Drosophila melanogaster: one gene and its partners. The protein of the gene in region 1 interacts with the protein of each later gene in a pairwise test. Each region holds a gene or a part of one and is shown on either strand. Other genes may lie near its edges.

What was found. The genes of interacting proteins can lie anywhere in the genome.
Region 2: the proteins of abd-A (region 1) and mam interact in a protein complementation assay, tested with the Drosophila melanogaster proteins (2 studies listed by BioGRID).
Region 3: the proteins of abd-A (region 1) and eve interact in a protein complementation assay, tested with the Drosophila melanogaster proteins (2 studies listed by BioGRID).

The regions. Positions count from the first base shown.
Region 1 is NT_033777.3:16,825,101-16,830,093, reverse strand, and holds the start of abd-A (abdominal A), read left to right. Parts: upstream 1-1,988; 5' UTR 1,989-2,090; coding exon 2,091-2,959; intron 2,960-3,786; coding exon 3,787-4,043; intron 4,044-4,993. UniProt on the Drosophila melanogaster protein: Sequence-specific transcription factor which is part of a developmental regulatory system that provides cells with specific positional identities on the anterior-posterior axis. Required for segmental identity of the second through eighth abdominal segments.
Region 2 is NT_033778.4:13,989,552-13,994,261, reverse strand, and holds the start of mam (mastermind), read right to left. Parts: upstream 3,060-4,710; 5' UTR 2,770-3,059; intron 2,285-2,769; 5' UTR 2,158-2,284; intron 1-2,157. Other genes in the region: RN-tre (uncharacterized protein), read left to right, coding at 4,426-4,577, 4,638-4,710.
Region 3 is NT_033778.4:9,977,319-9,981,354, reverse strand, and holds eve (even skipped), read right to left. Parts: upstream 2,037-4,036; 5' UTR 1,941-2,036; coding exon 1,802-1,940; exon of another isoform or gene 1,771-1,801; intron 1,731-1,770; coding exon 739-1,730; 3' UTR 560-738; downstream 1-559. UniProt on the Drosophila melanogaster protein: May play a role in determining neuronal identity. May be directly involved in specifying identity of individual neurons.

The DNA of each region.
Region 1 (4,993 bases):
AACTCAGCATCCAGTTGCCCATAAGAACGCTCGCATGGCTTTTGTATTGCGCCATAAACGTTTCGCTGCTCGTAACGCCACAACGCTCGACGTTTCGCAGCGGCTTTGCTTTCGCTTCTCTTCTCGCGCGTAAAGCGGTCTCCCCAAAAAAAAAAAAATAGAAAACAAAAAATATAAAGGAAAACCCCCTCCGTAGACAGACAAAACTCAAAGTCTCCAACGACTCAAAGCGCCTCAGTCGCTGCCGCTCTGCCGCCGTTTCTGTCGACGCCGCTGCCCGCGCTGGCAGCAAGAATTACCAATTACACGAAATTTTTATACTCTTTTAAAAATTTCGTTTTATTATAATATTTATTATCGTGGCGCGCAGTAGTGTCTGCGGAACTCAGCTCTCCACTCTTTGGAATTTCGGCCCTCCGATTCCGATTCGGATTATACGATTATACGACTATACGACTGTAGTGCGGCAATACGATTCAGTTTCCGATTCGCCGTGTTTATTGTTCCGTTTCGGCCGCCGGCTTATTGTCACTTAAATGTTATAGATCGCGTAAAATATAATAAAATTGTGTGTGAAATTTAAAACCGAAAAAACTGTCAAAACACTATGGTTTATAACTCACTGTGTGCGGTTCGTAAAAATTAAAAAGACATAAAGTTGACATCGTAAAAAGGTTCTCGCCTCTCCGTTCCAGACTTCGATAGTTCTACCTGCAAAGTGTTTTATGACATTTTAAACAAAGTAATTAAAGCAAAACGTTGGGAGAAAGCATTTCTCCGGCCACACACACACTCACGCACTTGAGAAGTCGTTAAAAGCCGCAGGAAACTCACTCTGCCATAAAAATACAAGAGTGCCATTAAAAAAGATCGCGCGCCTATAAATCACACGTACGAAATCCCGCCGGCACGACGTCCATTCGAATTTCCGCGTAATTGATGACCGCATTTTAATTGCTTTTACAACAAATAAAAGATACACACACCCCAAACACACACATGCGACACACACACTTGTGCCACAGCTGCAAATACAACGCAACCCGAGACCATATGCAAATTTAACAAATTTCGTTGTGAATTCGCCAGCTTCGAGCGAAAAAAGTAACAGAAACAGAAAAGCTGCAAATACAAGCTGCTCGCCAAAAGTTCGCTAGAGAAAACTTGAGAAAGGTAACAAAATGCATTTCACTTCTCGGAATCGAGAAAAGTAGCTTAAAGTCGGGCAGCTGGCAAAGTTTCCGAATTCTGTCTCACTAACTCTATCTAAAAAGTACTAACTGTTGGCCATCTCATATAGTACTGTAAAAGTAACCCACATACTAACTCGTTGGCACTGGCAGGGAAATCTAGCTGAAAAATATATAAAGCATTTGGATTATATATTTTTTTCACTTGAGTTCTGTATCATGCTACCCGAAAGATTTATGTTCAATCCAAACATATTCAATTTGGTTAATGTTCTTTTTATGGTTTCCGAGTAATTTTTATAAACATGTTATATTTTTTGTTTTGCCATTTTTAATTCTTGTTTATCACATTGGACGCCAAGTTTATTTTTGTTTTTAGTACCTTTTAATTCGATTAATTTTGTTAGTGATTTATATACTAAGTCCAATGTAGTTTGCATTCGATTATGAAGTAGAAAAGTTAAATACAGAGACGGGAGATGTTCATTAAAGACAAGTAAATTTTAATAGACATTGATACAAATTAAATTGCTGTGTAAATCTTATGAAAAAGTTAAAGAAAAAGATATTTTTAAAATGCTATTTCTCACAGTGTTGAATTATAAAGTCATTCAAGTTTAAGATTTAGGTTGTGCTTACAGAAGTAGTCGGAACTTTTGTTTTATTATGGCTAGAAAGCGCTCCTCTCCACGCTGAATTCAAACAAAATTTGTTAAAGTCACACAAAGAGGAAACTTTAAATTATAAAACGAAATACTCAATCTAGCCATTAACCAAACGACTCAGATAAAGAACCCAAATCATTCGAACTCAGAAATCTCCGAAACTAAAATAGAACAACAAGTGGACTAAACGAAATTCCGAAGATCCGATCCTCGGCCAGAGAGCAAAATATGTGCAATGTCAAAATTTGTTTTCGATAGTATGCTGCCAAAGTATCCACAGTTCCAGCCGTTTATCAGTTCGCACCACTTAACCACCACCCCCCCGAATTCGTCATCTGCAGCAGTTGCCGCCGCCCTAGCCGCCGCCGCCGCCTCTGCATCCGCCAGCGTTTCAGCCAGCAGCAGCAGCAACAACAACAGCAGCAACACGATCGCTGGAAGCAACACAAGCAACACCAACAATAGCAGCAGCAGTCCAAGCAGCAGCAGCAACAACAACAGTAATCTCAATTTGAGCGGAGGATCCCTATCGCCGAGCCATTTGAGCCAACATCTGGGCCAATCGCCCCACTCACCCGTCTCCTCATCGTCGCCCTTCCAGCAGCACCACCCACAGGTGCAGCAGCAACACCTGAACCACCAGCAGCAGCAACATCTGCACCACCAGCAGCAGCAACACCACCACCAATACTCCTCGCTCTCGGCCGCTCTTCAGCTACAGCAGCAACAACACCACATTAGCAAACTAGCCGCCGCCGCAGTTGCCTCGCACGGACACGCCCACCAGCAACTGTTGCTAACGCCCCCGTCAGCGGGCAATTCTCAAGCGGGCGACAGCAGCTGCTCCCCATCGCCCTCGGCATCCGGTAGCTCCTCGCTACACCGCAGCCTCAACGACAACTCTCCCGGGTCCGCATCCGCGTCCGCCTCCGCATCCGCGGCCAGTTCCGTCGCTGCTGCTGCAGCCGCCGCCGCCGCTGCGGCTAGCTCCTCGTTTGCCATCCCCACCAGCAAGATGTATCCGTACGTGTCTAACCACCCTAGCAGCCATGGAGGGCTCTCCGGAATGGCCGGCTTCACCGGACTGGAGGATAAGTCGTGCAGGTAAGATAGATTGCCCTGTTTAAGTATGGGATAATGCAGATTTTTATAAATCGGGATGGGTTTTATGTCCAATCGTAGTAAAATGATCTTAAATGACCCTAATAGGAAGTGCAAATATAAAGTCAATGACAAATGATCTATACTATCTAATATGATATTCAAATATTTGGAGTGCATTGATAGAACTTCTCAGACAGTATCATATTTTAAAATATATGCAAATTTAGTATGACCATTAGCTTTACCTGGCTTCAAAACCTTTAAGAAGATGTTTCCGGGGTTGAAAATACAAAAAAAAAGAAACACTCAGCTCTTCCAAGAACTAATTTCGCGTGCTCTCAATTTGGCGAGCGGAAATGCCAGTCGAGACCTTCAGTAAAATCTGCAAACACTGCAAAACCGCAAATCCGTTTCGAATGCGCTCTAATTATCGGGTCTCGGATCCTGGGACTCTGTCCATTTTCCTCTCGGCCACCGGCCATTCATATTGAATGGCCATAAAGTCGGAAAATTAGAGCAGCCTGTGGTGGCCGCTGGCAATTTGTCGCCGGCCACAAGATTCGCACGCACGCTGACCTTCCGCTGCGGCCATTTGCATATTAGTACTACTGTATGGGCACTCCATGTGCATGTACAGTGAACCCTGCTGTGCGTGGGCGTGTTCGGGATTAGTGTGCAATTAGAGCTAACCGCAGTTTGGTGAAAGGGGCATGCAAATGGCCACCTCATTAGCATTTGACTTTAGTACGGGCGCTGGAGTTGGGAACGTACTATGAGAGCAGGGATCACCAACAATAATGGCTACTTTCTCTCTCCCACACCCACAGCAGGTACACGGACACTGTCATGAACAGCTACCAGTCGATGAGCGTACCTGCCTCGGCATCTGCACAGTTCGCTCAGTTCTATCAACATGCCACAGCCGCCGCATCCGCGGTATCCGCGGCCAGTGCCGGCGCGATCGGCGTGGACTCGCTGGGAAATGCCTGCACACAGCCCGCCTCCGGCGTGATGCCAGGGGCAGGGGGAGCGGGCGGAGCCGGTATCGCCGATCTGCCCAGGTATCCCTGGATGACGCTTACAGGTGAGTCAAAACTCGATACTCGATAGTGCGGAGATATATTATACATAAGTAAAAAAATAACTGCCAGATTCGGACTCTTTGTGAAAGACTTCGGATCTGAATGTGAGTGCCAAATTTGATAAATCTTGAAAGTTATCCGATTTTTAGAATTGAGAATCACACATATCCCAATACAAGTTTATCACACTGAGCCAATCAATCAGTCTTTTAAATTAAGAGTCTGTCTATCGTATCTACTGTGTTCTATATATCATGCCAATCATTATAAAATCAGAAATAATCCGTGCACTTCAGGGAATGTATATCGTCTTAAATCAAGAATAAATTGCCTTCAAGATCTACAAAGCGATCTCTTAAAATTTTTTGTGTACATATAAATCATGGCCACTTACACTGAAATCAAAAAATCAAATAAAAAATTGTAAGAACTTATATTGGATTGAATTATTTAGTCGCTATGTTAGGTTAAATACTATAATTAAAAAATTTAAACAGCTAAGTTGTTTAACAACCCGTAGACTTAAACCAGGTTCGAACTGATTTACAAATTGTATGACCTAACAAAAAGCGTCCAGTCGAATTATCGAATTAAATTTCCCAAGTGTAGTATTTGGAATGGTTGCTGCGTACCTTTTATAAACAATAGATAAACGTGGCGCAAACGTTCCCCAATAGCATTCCCATTTGCACCGCCATTTCGCCTACAATTCCAATTCGTAATGAACACTTTGCGGAGCACTTCCAAGTCGTTTATTTCGCATAAGTCTTCCAGGCGATTCGAATCCGTAAACGAAATGAACGAAGAGCTAAAAAGTTGGCAGTAAATAAAAATGAAAATAGTTTGAGAAATGCTTCTCTTGTCTGTCGTGTTATTTGGCGTCGATTTGTAATTTAAATAGCCTCAAGGTTGCCCCACACCGACAAACGTATAGCCCAAAATGCCGACCAAA
Region 2 (4,710 bases), on another chromosome or scaffold:
CAAAGAGTTAAGTTGAGCAGCAGCATTGACCCCAACTGACTCAACGACAAAATATGCCACAGAAAAGGACGGCATTAGAGCGTCGAACAGAGATGGCAGACGCACAGAAGGAGATGGAGTTGAAGACTGGAGCCTCGGGAGATCTCTCGTATCCGAATAAATGCAGAACATGGTGCGAAATATTTAATACAAAAATGTTGAAAAGGAGTTTGGCCTGACAAAATAAAGCACCACACTAAACCATGTACAGTGAAATGTTGATAACTTAAACTGGGATTACTGCATATGTTATTCTTTGCATAAGCTGACCTTAGAAAAACATTACCCTGTTTCTTAAATGGAGAAAGTAATGGAGGAGCTTTTAAAAATTTCAACATCAACATATATATACTACAGTTATTTTTTATTTAATCAAATCCACAAATTCACACCCGGAATGAAATTTTTTTTATTTCAAGAATTTTAAGATTGAAATGGTATGCATTTATTTTCTTCTTATTGTAGTTTTTTAACTTAAGTGAAATAAGGCTTATGTTATATGGATTCAAAAATGAATGAATACAGGAAATTCCATGGCGCGCAGTTCGCGATACGGAGGCAAACCTGTAGCAGCCAACTGCAGCAGACGAAGCGAGGTGAGGCCAAGTAAACCTGTTTACAGTTCAAACTTCGCATTCGATATATTCGATGTGAACTCTTTTTTGTTGTGCCATAGTAGGTATGTTCGTCTGGCAGGTTCTGGGGCTGCTTCTTCTTGGCCAACCGAGTTGTTTTAAGCCACCTACGAAGTCGAAGCTTAGGCCGGGTTATCTTCAGCTTAATTGGGTCATTCACACGCGCCACTTGCTCGTCGATAGAGATGGATATACGGCTCCAGAGGGAGATAAAGATACAGCTGGAGACACTGCTGAAAAACACACACAACTTTTTCAGCCTAGCAACAACTTCCGGTGTCTCAAAGACGAAACGAACAAGAAACTAAAGACGAGGCATACATTACATGTTAGACCACTCGAAGACGTACATATGCGAAGACGGGGGCAAAACAAACGGCGGCGAACAGAGGGAGATACATGTATGTAAAAAAAAAAAAAGGAAAGGCAAATAATACTGTTTATCAAGTGATGAAAAGCATTTAAAATGTCGAGTATGCCAGGTATTGTGTTTAAATGCATGCCCTTCGTCGCATTTCGGTTGGAATGCATCTGATATTGGTAAGGAGAATGTTCAAAAGACATAAGCTGAATGCTGTTAATAATTTTAAAAATATTTAAGCAATAAATGCATATATTGCATAATGGCATTAAAACAAAAGGCAATACAGAATTCTTTATTTGAATATTTATTTTGATTTTTGGAGTTACAAAAAACTAACGATAATAATATAAGATGGAATGTTTCGTATACAAAATACAAATAATAAGATCCAAAAGAAATTTATAAATCAATCTTAAAAAACTCTTTAATATTCGAAAGAATTAAAATTCTTCTTTCCCCAAAAATATATATTGAAATATTTCTCGAATTGGTTTTAAAAAAGAAAATTCTAGTATCTTATAGATTGAAGTAACGAAACAACGGTAGATCTCTCCCACACTCAATCTTTTCTACCTACAAGGATCAAACGAAATCAAAGGATCAACGTTGAAGAAGAAGCAGAGAGAGAGAAAGAAAGAATCAAAGACAGGGCAAAAACAAAGTCATCAGTCCAAAGACAAAGGCAAATAAATGGAGAGACAAAAGAGACGGCCATAAAAACTCAACCGACAACTTCTGGATGTGCGAAAGGGACGGCAAGGGTAGAGCGAGAGGTGTGTGCATCCATCATTTTCTAGGCGATGCAAGCAAAAGCAATAGCAACAACCACAACAAACTGCAGTTTGGGCTTAGGAAATTATTTGGCAATTCCAAAGCCTCGAAAAACTGGTCTTGATCCATTTTTAAAAGCCGAGCTTTGACTCAAGCTCCCCTCAAACATAAAAACATCAATCATGCGAAGTTCTACACGAAAAGCGCTTCAAGGTCTTATCAACATGAGAAGAGAAAAAAAGGCATATGAAAACCCGAAATAGAACTGGTTTTGAAATGCAAAAAGCCACCCACACGAAACTAAAACGCTATAAACTAATTAGGCGATAAGAGACTTAACTTACTTACCCAGAAGCTGTGCTGATAATCCAACTTGATTTTGATTTCCTTTGATTTGCTATTTGCTATTTTCCATTTGTTATTACTGTTGTTATTTCAACTTAGCATTTATCCAATGCTTTGAATTTTAATCCAACTGCAACAACAACAAGAACGGCACAATTTTATTAGCTGGCCAATGCAACAACAATCAAAAGAGCAGAAACTCTCCGCTCTCCTCTCTCGATGTCTTCGTGTATGTGCAAAAATCAAAACAAAACACGGCAAAAACACTTATAACTCAAAGAGAGCGAATGAGAGAATGAGAAAGAGAGTGATCCGCTTTGCTTTTGTTTTAGTTTTTAGTGACTGCAACATGTTGAATGTGTTTACTCTTGCCCTAACGGTAAATGCTAGAGCTGCAGTTTAAAAATCCTCTGCTCGTCTCGAATTGAAAATCAAAAATTTACACGCGGCAATTTTCTTTTGCATCACAAAATCCACAATCACTCACACGCACACACAAACACACATATATATATATATATATATATATATATATATATATAAACGCACACCTTTAAAAAGGACGCTGTTGAGGGTTGCATTTTATGTTAAACATAATATTAATTATTTGCTTACTTTTATCTCACAATGCACTCTTAGAAATTTCCACTGTTATGTTATTCATGTGTTTGCATAAAACTGGAGAAATTAAACACGGTATCTCAACAAAAATAAAAGAAAGCCGCCAACAAAATCGGTTATGTTTGACTTCTTTTCACTTTGATATACACCTTAATTCATTTGCTTGTTCAATTAGCATGCACTCCTTAGTTATTTGGTACAGTGTATTTTTTACGAGAGTTCTCGACAATTTTCGAGCGCTAAAACAAAGAAACCGCGCTCGATGATAAAAACCGCGTCCGACTGCCGCTGTTTTTTTGTTGTTTTGAGAGGCGCTAGTGGTGGAACGATGGCTGGGAAAACATCGATAACGCTATCGATCAAGCGATTACTTATCCTTCTGTTGCTGACGATGTTTTCCAGTTGAATGTATGGCAGCACTGCTTATTTAGTCACAAAAATTATATTTGAATTAAAAAGCCGATTTTGTTATCAAGAAATAAATTTTGAAGTGAAAATGTTTTCCACAAATGTTTTAATTCATTAAGTGCCACTTGTCGCAATTAAGTAACTGAATAGGTTTTAAATAATAAGTAAATAAATATCATTGTTAAATATTTATAAATGAGCATTCATTTGCAGCTTTAAATAGATAAACATTTTACATATTTGTACATTGACATCACAAACATTTCAACTAAAATTTAAACTCGTATAACATTACGCTAAAGTATCGCTTAAATATTGGCTCGCATCCCTGGTACTCTTGTTACGTTACGTTATTCGGCAATTACATCAGTCTGGCAACTCTGGCCCTCACACACACTCAGTCGCCCCCCAAATGTATCGGAAACATGCAGCCGAGATAAAATAGTGAAAAACTAGTTACCAAACATAACCGATCAGTGCGGATAATAAGAATTGGCAATTCAAAATTAAATGGTAAACGAACGTCGGCGCGATTAATTAAACTCAACCATAGGAACGCGGAGAGAGTGGCCAGTGAAAGCCAGAACACTCTCTTTCGTCGGAGCGTCTGTGTGTGTGTGTGTTACGTGTGTGCGTATGTGTCTGTGTTGACAAAATACAACAAATCGCAGCGAAAACAGGAAGTGTACGAACGATAAAGCATAAGATTGCACATTTCGCATTAAAATAGGCGACAAAAACCCGGGGGCGCATGCAGATCCACACATTTCTGGCCCACTCACACTCACACAACGCAGATCAGGGGGCGTTTTTCTAGATCAGTGACCAAGTCTTATATGGCTTTATGTTTTGATGCTGCACTAAATATGGGTGAAACATCACGTCATTTATGCCACGCTCCTTCTCCAAAAACAAAGATCATGTTGATTTCACTGCATTTGAATATATATATATATATATACAATAGTTAATGTTCGTGTGCGTCATTCGCTCATCAGCTATATAGTATACGAGTGTTGTTATTGTGGATCGCTTTCGCATGTTAATGCTTTTGTGTGTTATTTTTTCCATTCCATTTTTTTTTTATCAAAGTTTCGCGCTATCGCCCAGTCAGCTCAGAAGCAGCCGCTCCCCAACTGAGAGCACAGAGAAACCAGCTCTGGCCACTTGCTCCTCCGGATCCGGCTCCTGCTCCTGTCCCCGATCCCCTCCCCCACCCGCCAAATCCTGATCCTGCTCCAAATGACTGACGGCGAACAGCAGGAGGCGCTGGTCAAGCGGGCCGAGGACGAGCGCGAGGACATCTTCCGGCGCTACGAACTCGGGCTGGATCCCAGCAATGTGGTGGACTCCTGGGAGAATCCCACCTTCGAGATCTACCACAGGACAGACAAGTGAGTAATATTAATCATTCGCCAGAAAAAATCCCAATAATGCCATTGATGCTCCCACAGATATGGCTTCTTGCACGACTCGCGGCTGCCGTCGACGCGTGATGCCCAGGAGGTGCATCGCAACAAGATTGAA
Region 3 (4,036 bases), on another chromosome or scaffold:
GGCCAGGACCAACAAACAAAAAAGTCACTCAACGGGTGAGGTGACAATTAATTAGCCGAGCCCAATGCAATCCGAGGACACCGAAATTGATTCCATTGGCAATGCAACCTGACGCGTGGCAGGGAGTGGGCCCAACTCCTCGCCAAGGTCGCCGCCCAGCGGGGTGGCTCTGCATTTGCAATGGGCCCTCCCGCTTGGATCCGTTCGGATCGCATTAATAAGCCATTGGCTTGTGCCAATCCCCCGTGGATGTTGTTCCCTTCCCCGCCGGTGCCGCATCGGGAACCCTTACTCCTGATTGTGGGTGGCCACTCCGAAGGACACTCGGCACGCTCTGCGGCTCTGCCGCTCTGCCGCTCTTCCGTTCGATTTGCCACAGTTTCCCTGGGAAGGTCAGCAGTCAGCAGCGCAGCTGTCCCGCCAGGTTTCTCCACAGCTAATCCAGAGAGCCAGGTCCATAAAAGCGATTCAGCTCAGGTATATGAATATATGTTGATATATATGTAGATAATACCAGGTACCAGGTAGTTCAAATAAACAGTGTGTGTCGTATAATTTTCAATGTTATTTTCGCATTTATTTCTTAATTTGATTTTGCGCCTTAATTATGACTACAATTAGCTACTCTACAATCTGTACAATCTTCGGGAATAAATAGATGAGGCTGACTAAGACTAGTTTGTACAATCTTTTGGGGGAGCATGGGGGGGGGGGAGAGAGTGTGTGTGGATCGCGGGCTTACGCCTCAGTCTTGTAGGGCTTGAAGAGCTTCGGCTTGGGCTCCGCAATCACAGTTGTCGTCGGCGGCGGCGACATGTCGGAGGCAGGCCGCTTGGCACTGGGCATCAGGAGGCCTGGAGCGGGCAGCGGGCTGGTGGTGGTCAGTGGAGCGGGAGCAGGAACTGATGGAGCGGATTGAGCCACTGGACTGCGGTCGAACACCTTGGCGTGATCGGATCCCACTGGCGAGAGCGACAGCGTGGAGGAGTGCGGCGATGACGACGACTGCAGATCCAGCGGCGGCGTCTGGGTCTTGGGCACACCCACACCCAGTCCGGTATAGCAGGTGGCGGAGGGCAGAGCGCCCAAAAGGCCGGCGGCACCGGCGGAGTACGACGATCCCGTTGCGCTGGATCCCATCATGTGCGGATGATGCATATGAGGACCAGCGGGATGTGGCGGCGCCGGGCGGGCGGGGATGTGGTAGGGCGTGTAGCGGTACTGTCCGTAGGGCGATGGATGGCCGGCATGTCCCGAGTGTCCGGGCATCTGCATTGTGGGCATCTGGGGCATGCCCATCGGGGGCATTCCGGTGGCCATCATCGGATTGGTGGCCACGGCAGCGGCGGCGGCAGCAGCGGCGGCAGCAGCGGGGGCGTAGGGCGGATAGGGCATGCCCACGCTGTTGGCGGCGGCCTGGAGGATGGAGGCGGCGAAGGCGGGATCGGAGTAGACGGCTGCGTAGGGCCAGGCGACGGCGATCCTCTGACGCTTGTCCTTCATGCGGCGGTTCTGGAACCACACCTTGATCGTGCTCTCCGGGAGGTTCAGCTGGGCGGCCAGTTCGCAGCGACGGGGACGGGACACGTAGTTCTCCTTGTAGAACTCCTTCTCCAAGCGACCCAGCTGGTCACGGGTGAAGGCGGTGCGATAGCGGCGTACCGACGGGTCGGCGGGAATCTCCGAGCCGCGGCTGCCGTTCAAGGAGTTATCCGGACTGGATAGGCATTCTGTTTTGGACAGAGGAAAGATTGGGTGTAAGTAACTCGTCACGTTTGCTCGGCTTTATCTTTAAACTTACCATTTGGCGAGGGAGGCGGTGTCTGGGGCTTGCCGTACTGGGTGGCCAAGAGGTCCACAACCAGGGGCTTCTGGTCCACGGGACTGGCGTCGTGATGGGCATGGTGGCTCTCCATGTTGTAGGTTCGGTATCCGTGCATGTTTGGTATGCGTCTTGTGATTCAAAGTTGGCTTATTCAGAGGATATTAACGAAGGCAGTTAGTTGTTGACTGTGCGGCGGTCACAGCTCGAGTGTGCTGCTCTCAGCCACCCCGCGCCCTTTTATACCGCTGCGCTCTGCAGGCAAATGGCCGCCGTCGCTGGGAGCGGCCAATCGCAGCGACCCAGGCAGGTGCGAGCGGGACAGCCTGAGCGGAACGGTGCTAATCGTGCGGTGCTGAGAGTGGATGCGCTGCTGTGCTCTCGGTGCTGAGCGGCGATAACGAGGCGGGACAAAGCGGAGGAGCAGGACCCGGAGCAGCGGGATGGAGCCGCGTTCTCTGCTCGGCAGGACCATGAGGAGGTCCTGGCCATGCTGGCCATGGCACTCCCGAGCTGGAGAGAGAGAGAGTTCCGATTTGGTATTCATAGCGGATGAGCGAATCTTTTGTCTCGCCCGCCCGCAGGCGGTTGCTCCGCAGGAGCGAGCGGGACGGGCGGGCCCCCTTAATAATGGGATTTTATCGGCTTCATCAAGAATGATATGGCATTATGCCGCTCAGTCGGGTCGGGTGGTGTGTGTTTGCCGGCAGAGAGTGTGTGTATCCCACTATATATTTGTATGTATGTATTATCGATCGCCTGCCAGCGAATTATTTGCGCTTTTATGAAGTCTTAATATTATGCCGCACGTTTAACAGCCCCACACTGCCATGGCTGCCATGACTTTCGGGTTTTGGGGGCTTCATCCACCCCGTTGGAGCGGCGGCAGGGGTGTCCAGCCATAACCATTTGGGAACTGCTGTAGCGAGATAATGGCCGCCCCTGCCCGCAGAACATGGAAAATGGAAAATGGGAACCCAGTTGCCGGGACTTAATTTGAAAAGTTTTCGGTTTCGTTGGGCAAAACATTTATTATGATGATATAATCATTCCCAGCGTACCAACTGTACCAGGACCGGGATAGTGCCTCCTCTTTTGGGCCAGCAAACCGGCCACTTGCCACTTGCGCAAGTTAGCTTGGAGGTTTGGCCAAAAAAATCGTGGGGTCCACCCACAACTACCTGCTGCCCGGCTCAAAACGGGTTAAGCTCGCGGATCAGGGCTAAGTCGGCGCAAAAAAATAACCCAGTTCGCTAGTCCGTTAATTGCGTTGCCTGGACCTGCGCGCCCCTAATCCCTTCGACATCATTATTATGTGTTTTTATGACTTTCTAATGAAAAGGACAAGGGATTGGGATTGGGATTGGGATCGGGCTAGGGATCGGGATTGGATTCCAAGTCAAGCCCTTGGCTAATCCCAGCAAACAAACAAACAAACGCCCGCAGAAGATGGCGATGGCTAGATCGGCGGAATGCCCTGACTTCGCAACCCGGTCTCGTTGTGCGATTATAGTCCAGGGTCCCTCGATTCCGTCTAAATGAAAGTATGGCACAGCGTGTTACCAAACTGCGACGATTGTTCAAGATGCTGCAATAAAGTCTAACTCGAAAGTGAAACGAGGACGAAAGCGAAACGCTGCAACTGCAATTGACTAATAATCTCGCTGATGGCAAACGGATTAACACGGCACACACAGCGAGAAACCAGGCCAGCTTTTCGATCTGTCCCAGTTACGGTTCGGGTTCCATTGTTATGCAGTACCGGGTAACCAGGAAGGATACCTCGCTCCTGCCAGTTACTTCAAATTATTGGGTTATATTGCGCCCGCAATTTGCATTGGCATTAACTCGCCCGGCATAGCCGCATCGCAACAACTCTACCTACTGGCCGACCTGGAAAAGGCCCACATGCAAGCCTTCTTGCCCCGGGAAAGGTTCAATTCTCGAGGTTCGGGGTTCAGGGCTAACAGCTCACAGCTCATAGCTCATAGCTCAAACCCTACCCACAAGCAACAACCTTGCCTATTGTCCACCTCCGCCGGCCTTTGTCTTTGACTCCGTCCGGAGAATGGACGCGAAACGACCGCTTGGGTTAAGTCGTCAAGCGAGGCTCTGCGGCAGCGACAGTAAATACCCTTTATGGCGATCGGGTGGGTTGGATTGGATTGGGATGGGTTGGATTGGCTTGGTTAGGCGAAAGTGTCCGCCGGCGGA